3 linked regions of the Schizosaccharomyces pombe genome follow. The protein of the gene in region 1 purifies or fractionates together with the protein of each later gene. This does not show direct contact. Each region holds a gene or a part of one and is shown in the gene's direction. Other genes may lie near its edges. The genes, in order: cul3, ubc4 and rbx1.

What was found.
Region 2: the proteins of cul3 (region 1) and ubc4 purify together in Schizosaccharomyces pombe (affinity purification with mass spectrometry, with the first as the bait; one study listed by BioGRID). This does not show direct contact.
Region 3: the proteins of cul3 (region 1) and rbx1 purify together in Schizosaccharomyces pombe (affinity purification with mass spectrometry, with the first as the bait; one study listed by BioGRID). This does not show direct contact.

Annotation. Positions count from the first base shown.
Region 1 is NC_003424.3:485,071-490,430, reverse strand, and holds cul3 (cullin 3), read left to right. Parts: upstream 1-1,716; 5' UTR 1,717-1,815; coding exon 1,816-1,857; intron 1,858-1,913; coding exon 1,914-3,298; intron 3,299-3,337; coding exon 3,338-3,447; exon of another isoform or gene 3,448-3,499; coding exon 3,500-3,564; exon of another isoform or gene 3,565-3,608; coding exon 3,609-3,782; exon of another isoform or gene 3,783-3,833; coding exon 3,834-4,243; exon of another isoform or gene 4,244-4,299; coding exon 4,300-4,471; 3' UTR 4,472-4,708; downstream 4,709-5,360. Other genes in the region: gup1 (MBOAT family O-acyltransferase), read right to left, coding at 1-93, 169-415; TIM23 translocase complex subunit Tim15, read right to left, coding at 1,081-1,357, 1,402-1,652. UniProt on the Schizosaccharomyces pombe protein: Probable core component of multiple cullin-RING-based BC3B (BTB-CUL3-BTB) E3 ubiquitin-protein ligase complexes which mediate the ubiquitination and subsequent proteasomal degradation of target proteins.
Region 2 is NC_003423.3:713,280-716,861, forward strand, and holds ubc4 (ubiquitin-conjugating enzyme Ubc4), read left to right. Parts: upstream 1-2,005; 5' UTR 2,006-2,053; coding exon 2,054-2,173; exon of another isoform or gene 2,174-2,252; coding exon 2,253-2,330; exon of another isoform or gene 2,331-2,488; intron 2,489-2,701; coding exon 2,702-2,947; 3' UTR 2,948-3,032; downstream 3,033-3,582. Other genes in the region: 19S proteasome regulatory subunit Rpn3, read left to right, coding at 1-816. UniProt on the Schizosaccharomyces pombe protein: E2 ubiquitin-conjugating enzyme that catalyzes the covalent attachment of ubiquitin to other proteins. Mediates the selective degradation of short-lived and abnormal proteins. Mediates ubiquitination of pex5.
Region 3 is NC_003424.3:1,573,565-1,576,835, forward strand, and holds rbx1 (SCF complex, Cul4-RING and CLRC ubiquitin ligase ligase E3 subunit Rbx1), read left to right. Parts: upstream 1-1,780; 5' UTR 1,781-1,845; coding exon 1,846-1,920; exon of another isoform or gene 1,921-2,108; coding exon 2,109-2,258; exon of another isoform or gene 2,259-2,321; coding exon 2,322-2,412; exon of another isoform or gene 2,413-2,436; intron 2,437-2,456; coding exon 2,457-2,464; 3' UTR 2,465-2,743; downstream 2,744-3,271. UniProt on the Schizosaccharomyces pombe protein: Component of E3 ubiquitin ligase SCF complexes, which mediate the ubiquitination and subsequent proteasomal degradation of target proteins.

The DNA of each region.
Region 1 (5,360 bases):
CGGAATACTGAAAATCAGCGGAATCGACTTTTTGTCCAAACAACCACCCAGGCTTTAAATATTTTTCAATGTTTTTGTAATTGGGATGTTTTGCTGACGCCTAGTTAGTTGCTTACTTTATTTCAAATTGATAAATAGAAAAGGCTGATTAAAGCTTTTGACACTTACGAGAACTAACATAATGAATTTTAAAACAAGCAATTGTTAGAATCGATAGAATGACAGAAAAGTAAAAAATAAATTCTATGGAACCAAAAGCGCTCTTTTCCGGAACTGCGCTTCGAACGGTCAAACGTGAAGATGAAGATGGATGACTTGAACCAGAAGTCGAACTTAACCGTGAACTTTTAGAATTGGGTCTTTCAGTATCTTTGGTCGAAGTCTCAAGAACATCAAATCGAAATAAACGTAACATCCTAGAAGTCTCCTACCAACAGCAAAGAAGATGGTCGGTTCTCAAAATATCATAGAGTAAACAAACCTAGTGGTGTTCACTAGCAAAATGCAAGACACTGCGTAATTTACACTTTGTGTCAGCTTCATAGTCCGTAAATAATTTTAAGAGTAAGGTAGAGAGAGTATGATGAAATCAATTATATTTTTAAAAATAATAAATTCAGTTTGTATTGTTTATTGGAATGAATAAAATAGTCAGCACTATACAAAACGCGCTATTAAAATAGAAATATTAATTAAGCATCTTTAAAGACTAAATTTTGATTTTGGTAAATTAGCAACTTATATATTGAAAAATGTTTTACATTCGTTTGCAATAATTCTGTATAGCCCATTTAGATCTCTAAAATCGTTAATTTTTATAATTAATTAATTAATTTATTTTTTTTTGGATATGATTTGCTCAATGATTGCTAAATTATCACATCTAGTCTAAAAATTCAAAAGATAATTTCAAGTTAACAAGCTCATATAATAATTAAATGTTCTATTAGAACGTCGTATATATTGACCAAAGTATTACAAAAATAAATAAAAATAATATATACTATAGAAATTAAAATAAACAATGACTATATCTTGCAATTTATATGCTCCTAAACCCAATTTGATCGCTCTCCTAGTTCATTTGGAAGAATTGGAAGAAGATGATTTTGCTGGTCGAATTTTAAATTGAGGGGGCTTAAATTCTACAACATTGCCATTGATTACTTGACCATAGCCTTTTTTAAAAGTTTCCCCTTTCTTAGCTAAAATGTCTTCAATCGTCACCCGTTCTTCAGAGAATATTTTTAAATGATCAGCCATCAAGTGCCGATTTTTGCACTTAGGACATTGAACTAAAACGGTCCCATTATGGTAGGCCTGCTTGGAGAAATTGTGATTTGACCTAGTGTTACATCTTTCATTTGGTTAGTATCCTTCAATGAAATTATAAATACTTACACGGTACAAGTAAAAGAAACATTATAAGTCGGTTTAGGTTGTAATTGATCAGCATCTGATTTTACAGAGGGAACACCACTTGCAAGATCTTTAGCATCGCTTTGAGTGAAGCGTTTGCATTGCCAATTAGAAATGTTTCTCACATTCGGGGAACAGAAAAGTAAACTTGAAACCTTTACCTTGTTTGAAAAATTTTTTAACTGCAAATTTCGTAAACAGAATTTTTGAGTATACCGTGCAAAGCTCCACATTATGTTTGAAAAATTTTTGTGTTCGGAGAATGTTGTTCGTAGTTAGTACCTTCTACCACCTTTTGTACCATTACTTCCGTCTGTGCTGGCGTTTCTTTATGCAAACTCATATGCCCATATATTTAGCTTTTTTGTTGAAACTTAACTTTAAATTCCATTATTAATGCAGCGGTCAGCGAAGTTAAAAATTCGAGCGCCACGAAAAGTAAGTGTACCTGATGCATGCTGTCCTTATTATTTTCCTCACATACTGACATTTAGTTTTCTGCTAACCAAGTAGACTTTGCTACACATTGGGAAGTCTTGCAGCGAGCTATTGGGGATATATTTCAGAAAAGCACATCTCAATTATCGTTTGAAGAGTTGTATAGAAATGCATATATACTTGTTCTACATAAGTATGGAGAAAAGCTTTATAATCATGTACAGGATGTTATTAGATCGAGGCTTAAAGAAGAAACTGTTCCAGCTATTTACAAAAACTATGACGCTTCCTTATTAGGGAATGCTCTATTGGATATTAGAAAAAATGATTCCTATTCTACTTCATGGTCGAGATCATTGGAAGCGGCTCATAGATTTTTATCGTCTTTAGTTAATTCCTGGAAGGATCACATTGTTTCAATGCAAATGATATCTAGTGTATTAAAATATTTGGACAAGGTTTATTCAAAATCTGCAGACAAAGTTCCTGTTAATGAAAACGGAATATATATCTTTCGTGAAGTTGTTTTGTTAAATAGTTTTGAAATTGGAGAGAAATGTGTCGAAACTATTCTAATTCTGGTTTATCTTGAACGTAAAGGGAATACAATAAATCGACCCTTAATAAATGACTGCTTAGATATGCTAAACTCTTTGCCTTCAGAAAACAAAAAGGAAACTCTTTATGATGTTTTATTTGCTCCAAAGTTTTTATCTTACACAAGAAATTTCTATGAAATAGAATCATCAACAGTCATCGGCGTATTTGGAGTTGTGGAGTATCTGAAAAAAGCAGAGAAAAGATTTGAGGAAGAAAAGGAGAGGTCCAAGAATTACCTGTTCACAAAAATAGCTAGCCCCCTTCTATCCGTTGTTGAAGATGAGCTTTTGAGTAAACATTTGGACGATTTGCTTGAAAATCAATCAACTGGCTTTTTCTCGATGATCGACTCTTCAAACTTCGAGGGTCTTCAATTGGTTTACGAAAGCTTTTCTAGAGTGGAACTTGGCGTGAAGTCTTTAAAAAAATACTTGGCGAAATATGTAGCGCATCATGGAAAATTAATCAATGAAACTACTAGCCAAGCGCTTGAAGGAAAGATGGCTGTTGGTCGTCTATCATCTAATGCTACAATGGCAACATTATGGGTTCAAAAAGTTTTGGCCTTATGGGATAGACTAAATACAATTATAAGTACTACTATGGATGCTGATCGGTCTATCTTGAACTCTTTATCAGATGCTTTTGTTACGTTCGTAGACGGATATACCCGAGCCCCCGAGTACATTTCACTATTCATTGATGACAATCTGAAAAAAGATGCTAGAAAAGCAATAGAAGGCTCTATTGAAGCAACACTTCAAAATTCTGTTACGTTATTTCGGTTTATTTCAGAAAAAGATGTTTTTGAAAAATATTACAAAACACACCTTGCAAAAAGGTATGCTTTAATTGTTTTTACTGTCTTTAACACTTTTAGGTTGTTGAATAATCGATCAATATCTTCCGATGCAGAGCTCGGAATGATCAGTAGGCTGAAACAAGAAGCTGGTAATGTTTTTACTCAAAAGCTCGAAGGAATGTTTAATGGTAAGTATTCAGACTTTAGCAAGTTTTTTTGCGTTCCCTTATTAATGCTTAGATATGAATCTTTCACAAGAATTGTTACAGGAGTACAAACATAATTCTGCGTTACAGTCGGCCAAGGTTAGTGGAAATTTTTATTGATAATCCTTTATACTAACAGTTAGCCTGCTTTGGACTTAAACGTTTCAATTTTGGCTTCTACATTTTGGCCCATCGATTTATCGCCTCACAAAATTAAATGTAACTTTCCGAAAGTTCTCCTGGCTCAGATAGATCAATTTACGGATTTTTATTTATCGAAACATACGGGGAGAAAATTATTGTGGTATCCTTCTATGGTATAGTAAACTTTTATTTGCTTGTTGCGTCACACTAACAATCCTATTTAGGGAAGTGCTGATGTCCGTGTTAATTTCAAAGACAGAAAATATGACTTGAATGTATCGACTATTGCATCTGTTATTCTATTGCTTTTCCAAGACCTAAAAGAAAATCAGTGTTTAATTTTTGAGGAGATTTTGGAAAAAACCAATATAGAAGTTGGGGATTTGAAGCGCAATCTTCAGTCCCTTGCTTGTGCAAAATACAAGATTTTGCTAAAGGATCCAAAAGGAAGGGAGGTGAATGCAGGTGACAAGTTTTATTTCAATGAGAACTTTGTTTCAAATCTCGCCCGGATTAAAATATCGACAGTTGCTCAGACTCGTGTTGAGGATGATAGTGAGAGAAAACGTACATTAGAGAAGGTAGACGAGTCAAGGAAGCATCAAGCAGATGCCTGTATTGTTAGAGTGATGAAGTATGTCTTTTTCCTTTTTTTTTTTTTTCAAACATTTTTACTAACAGTAAATTAAGGGATCGCAAAGTGTGCGAACACAATCAGCTGATGGCAGAGGTTACAAGACAGTTAAACCCTCGTTTCCACCCTAGTCCGATGATGATTAAGCGACGAATTGAAGCTTTAATAGAGCGGGAGTACCTACAAAGACAAGCCGATAATGGTCGCATTTATGAATATTTAGCATAGCAGCCTTAACTGTTACACGAAATGCAATATTCGTATACGAGAAATCATGTTTAAATGGAAAGATACCAATTTGTTCAAGATGATATCTAGCAAAAGCTTTGTGATTATAATGACACTCATGAATTTTACACCAACTTCCTTTTTATTTTTGAAAAAAAGAAAATTTTAAGTAATGCTATAAGAAGGTTTGAAAACAGGTAGATTATATTCCAAATCAATCAAAATTTGATACATTAATTCTGCGAGCAGATAGTAGAGTAATGAGTTTAAATTACATTGTTCCATATACATTGTACAAAAAGACCAAAACAGAAAAACCCTCAGTTTAAAATAGATTAAGGTATTTGATCAACGATAGATGGGAAGTGTTAACCTAAAAAATTATTATGGGAGGAAGCGAATTCGCCGTAAATACACTATCCTACACAGTATGCTTTTGATGATGACTCTACTAATAACATCGAAAATACCAGAGCAAGTAAAGCTCCTTATAATCTTTAAGGTGTTAATCAAATAATAAAGCTATGTATTTGATTTAGTATTGAAACACCTGGTTGTTTACATTAAGAATATTCTTCTTTCCTAACGGACTACGCTATCCTCTTTAGCAATCTCGGAAGAACCCCTAAAAATATCTACCGTTCAATGCTATTCTGTATATTCTCCGCTTAATTCTATTTGTTTAGGAAATTGTATAAATAACCTCAAATATCTTAACGAACCCCACTTGTTCGCCAATTTCATTTAATTGGTTCCGCGTACCACACTTCCTTTTAACCACCAAACACTTTTAAGTATCCGCAAGGTTGCCAAAGGTTGATTACAATCTCTTACTTTAAGCTAAGATACAAAGCTCTTTTTGATATCCTACTCGTCTTGCAGAGAACCT
Region 2 (3,582 bases), on another chromosome or scaffold:
GATCAAGCAGACCGTCTCGTTTCGAAAACATCCTTTCTTACGAATGCTAGTAATAACTTGGCAATTCGCTACCAATACTATTTGGGTCGAATTCGCGCCATTCAACTTGACTACACGACCGCTCATGAACATTTAGTTAGTGCTATACGTAAGGCTCCCAACACAGTATATGCCGTTCAATTTCTGGAAGCTGTTTACAAATTGCACATCGTCGTACAATTGCTTATGGGAGAAATTCCCGAACGCCGCATTTTCCGCCAAAAATCTCTCGAAAAAACTTTAGTGCCTTACTTACGTATTAGCCAGGCAGTTCGTATTGGTGACCTTTGTGCTTTCACTGACGCGCTTTCCAAGTATGAGGCTGAATTTCGCTTCGATGGATTGTATACTTTGATATGCCGCCTTCGCCATACCGTCATTAAGACTGGATTGAGGATGATCTCCTTATCTTATTCCCGTATTTCCCTTCGTGATGTTTGTATAAAGCTTGGTTTGGACAGTGAAGAGAGTGCCGAGTACATTGTTGCTAAGGGCATCCGTGATGGAGTTATTGATGCAAGTATCGATCATAGTAATGCCTTTATGGCTAGTAACGAAGCCATGGATATTTATTCCACCGAGCAGCCTCAACAAGCTTTTCATGAACGTATTCAGTTTTGTCTTGCCCTTCATAATGACAGCATAAAAAGTATGCGATATCCCATGGATGCTCACAAAAGTGAACTCGAAGGTGTGGAAGAGGCACGTAGGCGTATGGATAAAGAAATGGCTGAGGCAGATTTAGATGACGATGAGCCTGATTTGGGCGAATTTTAAAAAACTTATGGAAAGTTTATAGATCTTAAAATATACTTTCAAAGTTGTTCAGTTGTATGTTTCTTTAATGTCTATGAAAACTATATGTAGTTTACAGATTGAAATATTTAGTGAGTTTGCGAAGCTGTAACAGAAGGAAAGTTGTTGAAAAACAGTTTTCGATCGGTGCTACAACGCTACAAATGCGTTTGTTGTTTAAACTGAGACTTGGTCTTTGCACATTGTAATAAATGAGTAATACGCTAAAAACACAGGGGTTTGGAGAATGGTCGTGTGCTTTATTTTCAAATTTGTTGTTTTATATTTCGTATATAATACACGTATGCAAACACATTTATGGTTATGCTGTGAAGCAATACAGATTTGATCTTGGATTATGGTTCCAATCAAAGGTATACTTTAGTCTTTTTAATTATAAATGGCGAAATGGGCAAAAAATTTTTGTGCAAATTTATTTTTTGTTATGCATAACTAGAGCAAATAAAGCAATGCTATAAAATGGCTTCCGGCAGAAAATAATAACCACAGTGGATATAAGCTAGTTTTCTAACGTGACTTAAGTAACACTTTATAAAACCAAAGCTATACATTAGTCTCTCCCATTACCACTTTGTCAATTTTAGCTAAGTTAGTAGATATGATCAACACTATATATTTAAAGTGGAACGGCAAGCTCATTTTTTACGTTATAGTAATTTAACAATTTTGTCGATATTTTGAGCAATGGTGTATTCTGCTGTGGTCGCTACGGCGCATATCATCAAATATCGCCTGTCCGGTTTCTCTATTCGCTAAATACGGGAAGATACTGATATAGTCTATATTGTATTTCACAAGTAAAATAGTTTCTGAGTTAGCCATCATGTCGTCAGTTAAACTGATCCTCGTTCTTCAGTTCACTTACAAGCTCTTTTATTGATAAATCGTTATAATACCGCCCCCATAATATAATATCTGTAATTCTCTTTAATTTTGCCCTATTTGTAATACAATAGTATGCTGGATCCCGAAAAAATTTATCGTAACGTAGCGTATCCTTAAAAGGATAACAAACTGTTTAGCGGGTATTTTGCAGGTACAAAGCAAGTTGCGCCATCCTGAAAAATTGCTTACTCAGACAAAGTCGAACTCGTGTGATTTAGTGCATCCATCGGTTATATGTTATTTCTACCTCCGTCCACGTTCTTCCACGAGCAAACTACTGACTTTGTAAAATCGCAAAAGCAAACCAGTAACGATGGCTTTGAAAAGAATTAACCGTGAATTAGCTGATCTTGGAAAAGACCCACCGTCTTCTTGTTCCGCCGGCCCTGTTGGCGATGATTTATTCCATTGGCAAGCTACAATCATGGGTCCTGTAAGTCGCGGCTGTAATAGTGCCTTGCGCACTGCCAAAATTTTGCTTGCTAGGATTGTGCAGCTAACATGATATATAGGCTGACAGCCCTTATGCGGGTGGTGTCTTCTTCTTGTCCATTCATTTCCCTACGGACTACCCATTCAAGCCACCAAAGGTATGTAACTATTTAGTCTTGTGTAGATTATGTAAATACGCATTGTAAGCTTGTGAATCGGAGGAGGAAGTTTGTTATATACAATATGAATTGAAGAGTTGATTGCATCTTGTTTTTCTGGAAAAATCGGTATGGTTGACAGTGATGCAAAATTTTTTAAGTGTTATGGTGAAAGAGTATACGCAGAAGTTTTTTTATAATTGTTTACTCTTACCTTTTATCTTCATTTCTTTATGTTTTACCAGCGGAACTTTATCGATTTTTATACGATTGCGTCCATCCAAGTGAAGCGAGGGCAATTACATTGCGTAGCATTACGAATCTGATTGATAGTCTTTTTTTTTTAATGATAACTAACAGCATATTCGTAGGTAAACTTTACAACCAGAATCTATCATCCCAACATCAATTCAAACGGTAGCATTTGTTTGGATATCCTTCGTGACCAATGGTCTCCAGCGTTGACTATATCAAAGGTATTACTGTCTATCTGCTCATTGTTGACAGATCCTAATCCTGATGATCCGCTTGTGCCTGAAATTGCGCACGTCTACAAAACTGACAGATCCCGTTATGAATTAAGTGCTCGTGAATGGACTAGAAAATACGCAATCTAGAGTTTGTTTCTGTGTTGATATTAAATATTCATCTCTTTTGCGAATTGTTTTCTCCAATGTATTGTATAGTTTTTTTTTTTTTTTTTTGGTTTTGGTTTTTTAAATAAATAGTAGGGGATGGCGATAATGTAGCTAGTAAAGTTGCATCGTAAAATTGAGGATACAAGCTGCCTTTAAAACAAACTGTATTATGTTCGAGGATAAAGTATGATTTGATTTAGATAATTTTTATGATTTTTTGAATAGTACAAAATTTTTCTTTGTGTTTAATAAGACCGAATGGGTCCAGTTGGATTATTCCAAGAGCGTTTGTGCATATATTTTTAAAAAGGTACGTAAACACTGCCGATTAAGTGAAATATTGTGCAAGTAAAAGTAGAATAACACGAATGGAAAGTCGTGTTACGAAGAGAGTAAACGGCTCTACGTCTTTAAGGTTTTGCTAAAAATATTTATTAAACAAAACTAAGTAATAAACAAATTCCTTGTAGCGCCTTTTTGCTGAAAAGAAAATGATAATACTTGACATGCAATACGAAGTGATACTGCTATAGACACAACTCATAATAGCCAGTCAATTCAACTCCTAGTTTTGTATTTGTCTTTACAACGTCGTCTATTGAGCTATTTTATGC
Region 3 (3,271 bases), 1.1 Mb from region 1:
TTGGCATTTGACGGGGATATATATTTTAGAGAATTGAGTATTTTTACAAAAAAAAAAAAGACAAAATTAATGACAGAGCGATGTAAATAAGTAAAAGTACATTAGCATTTTTTCCTCAAATTCAAGATCCGTAGGCTATGATCTCTTCATGTTGCAAAATGTTTGTAGACAGGCTCCAAACTTTTAAAAAACTACTTATTCCAAAACATGCTTGCCTCAACGAAGTATCGCTACCGTTCTCTTTCGTTTTACTAACAAGTTCAATTTGTTTCTTGTTTTTGTATTAGTCGATTTTTAATATGCACAGGCTTGCATAAAGATAGTTAATTATAAATTTCATTTGTTTGATTTTAAGCTTAGCATTTCATTCAGCTCGACTTCAAGCTGACAATCCCCAATGCAAATATCCTTGCGTCTCGTTAGGCAGGTTACATTTCCAATAGTTTGAACGTAGCTTCCGCGTTATTATACTTTGCCAGTTTTAGTGCATTGTATAGCTACACAGTATTTTGGTTTTAAACTTAGCGAGATATCTCAAAACCCCTTGGCATGCTCTTAGCACGGTACTTAGCTGTAGATCCTTTTAAAATTTGCTAACAGATGTAAACTTGAAAACCAGATTTTTCGGCTTAATATATTCCATCTATCATTTAAATCTCTTTGATGATAACTTTCAAAAATTGAAGGAAATCCGATGTTGACGATGAAATCACTGTAGATACGAATGTTTACTCAACGAAATTACCATACAATTTGATGCCGATCATTTTAAAGACATTTTTAGCAAAATATAAGCAGTCAAACTAGTAGAAATTTTTACAAAAAAAAGCCATATACGAGGTTTGTTTAGTACAAATGACTATACGATCGCAATAATATAGTAATCAAATGAGCCACAGGAGGCAGCAGCTGTGTATAATCGGAAATTAAAATCCTAGTAAAGATACACCCGATCTATAGAAATGATATTCTTGTGTTCATTATTTTTCAAGTTTTGTAAACTATTATTAATTTTGCATACTAGCAAAGACCATTTACAACAAATAGTGCAACCTACTTTTGAAAACTTTTGTAATCAGAAGACGAATATGCTGGACTAAAATAAACATTAACTGCATCTTGTTCTACGATTGTTATATTGAGATGGTTTATTTATTAATTGTATGGATAAAGCTTTTTTCAATCAGTCTTGAATTTCAGAGTCAATACAAGTTAAAAATAAATCAATTTTGGAATTAACTTCCCTTGTATATTTCACTTCCAAGGTATTTATATTTGGATGAAATACAATAATAAAAAATAGCTCTATTACTTCAGAAAAATTCGCTGAATGTGTTCAATTTGATATGCTAGAGAAGGTACAATATTATAGATAAATAGGGCTATTTACTAATTTTGGTTGAAACGTTTGTAGGAAACCGTCTTCAGTACTTCGATATTATATACAAAACTTATTCAATAGATGTCTAACGAGCACACATAATACAAATAATATCTAAGAAACTTGTATTGTCATCATGTAACATAGAATTAAAAGTTTACACATTTAAACAAACTGAGTAATTTAATGTAGCTAAATAGATATAGTGCTAAACACTCATGAAACAGCAGATGAATAATCATCCTTCATTTTTTGAGTACGCATTTTGCGATTGAAAGATCCATGATCCATTATTTATTATATTAAATACTTGTGTTTTAGCAAAATTTATTACATTACTCCAAAAATTATCTTATGTTTGAGTATTGCTTAGCGAAGCTGCAATTTTCAACCCCCTTTATCACACCGCTTAAACATCTCATCTTAAAACGAAGTAGCGGCTTTGCTCTATTTTACTCATCACAATGGAAGATGAAATGCAAATAGACAAGAAGGAGGTGGAAATTGAACAAAAACCTCCTCGATTTGAAATTAAAAAGGTTCGTCATTATTTTTATGATCATGTTCTTCATGTGTATCAAATTTGCCATAAAGCAAAGTAAACTGTGAAAATTAATACCCAAAGATATATTTGCTATTTTAAAATAAGCATACACTTAAGTACTAGTTTACTCTCTTTGCTTTTTTTATGAGTTCTTCTGATTCATATTGCTTACCTTCAATTTAGTGGAATGCTGTAGCATTATGGCAATGGGACATTGTTGTAGATAACTGTGCTATCTGCAGAAATCATATTATGGACTTATGTATTGAGTGTCAAGCTAACACCGATTCTGCTGCTGCTCAAGAGTGCACAGTGGCATGGGGAACTTGTAATGTAAGTTTTAATTCGATTTCTTTCGTATTCTTAGCTCAGGACTGTTTTTAACAAATACAAAAGCATGCATTTCACTTTCACTGCATCTCAAGATGGTTAAACACTAGGAATGTTTGTCCTTTGGACAATCGTGAATGGGAGTTCCAACGTTATGGTAGGGTATATTAAGACGAGCCTACTTTACTAACTTTATCTCAGGTCATTAATAACATTTATTAAGTACTTACTTTTTTGTTGGTAAAAATATTTCAATGGAGCAGAGCGTTTTATTAATGAAATGACATGAATCAATTAAAATTTCCTAAAATCATGACTACTTGTGGCTAGTTTAAGTTTCCATGTGACTTTGAATTGTTATTTATATTTATTTACTCCAATTACTCAGATAGTGGACGAATATATCAATTTATTTTATTGCTTGTCAAATAAAATTTCCTACAGACAGTTTTTAACTACACATCATATAAATTAAGACATTATATCACTACTTTGTATACACTTGAAGAATTAGAACATTACTTAAATCATCAAAAGAAATGGCATACTTCTAAAGTGCTATTGTTAAAATTGAATAGGCATACAGACATTATGCTGCATATCGCATGACAGAATGCGAATCATTGCTTTCGAGAAGAATGTCAGTGGTGAGATACAAAAGCTCAGTAGTGCACGGATTTTCTATACTTGCCAATCAATTCACAAATTCAGTTAACTTTTAAATAAGAACAAACAGCTTTATGAAAATTACCATCTGATGTTTAAAACCTTCAGTTTATCAGACTTGGTGTTTTCGTTAATAGTGGGTAGGCATAAAAAGATTCGTGGTACTTTGACTCTTTATTCGCCTAATACTAATGTTTCTGTCGCCTTCGTCACTTCCCACTATAGAGAGACCTACATTCATCTGACTTTTTAAGTGATACTAAAAAGTCGGATACTTTTTATATAAAGACTGTAAAAAGCATCCCTATGTGATTGAATGTGTATATATCCATCTCTTTAAAGGTTTGATA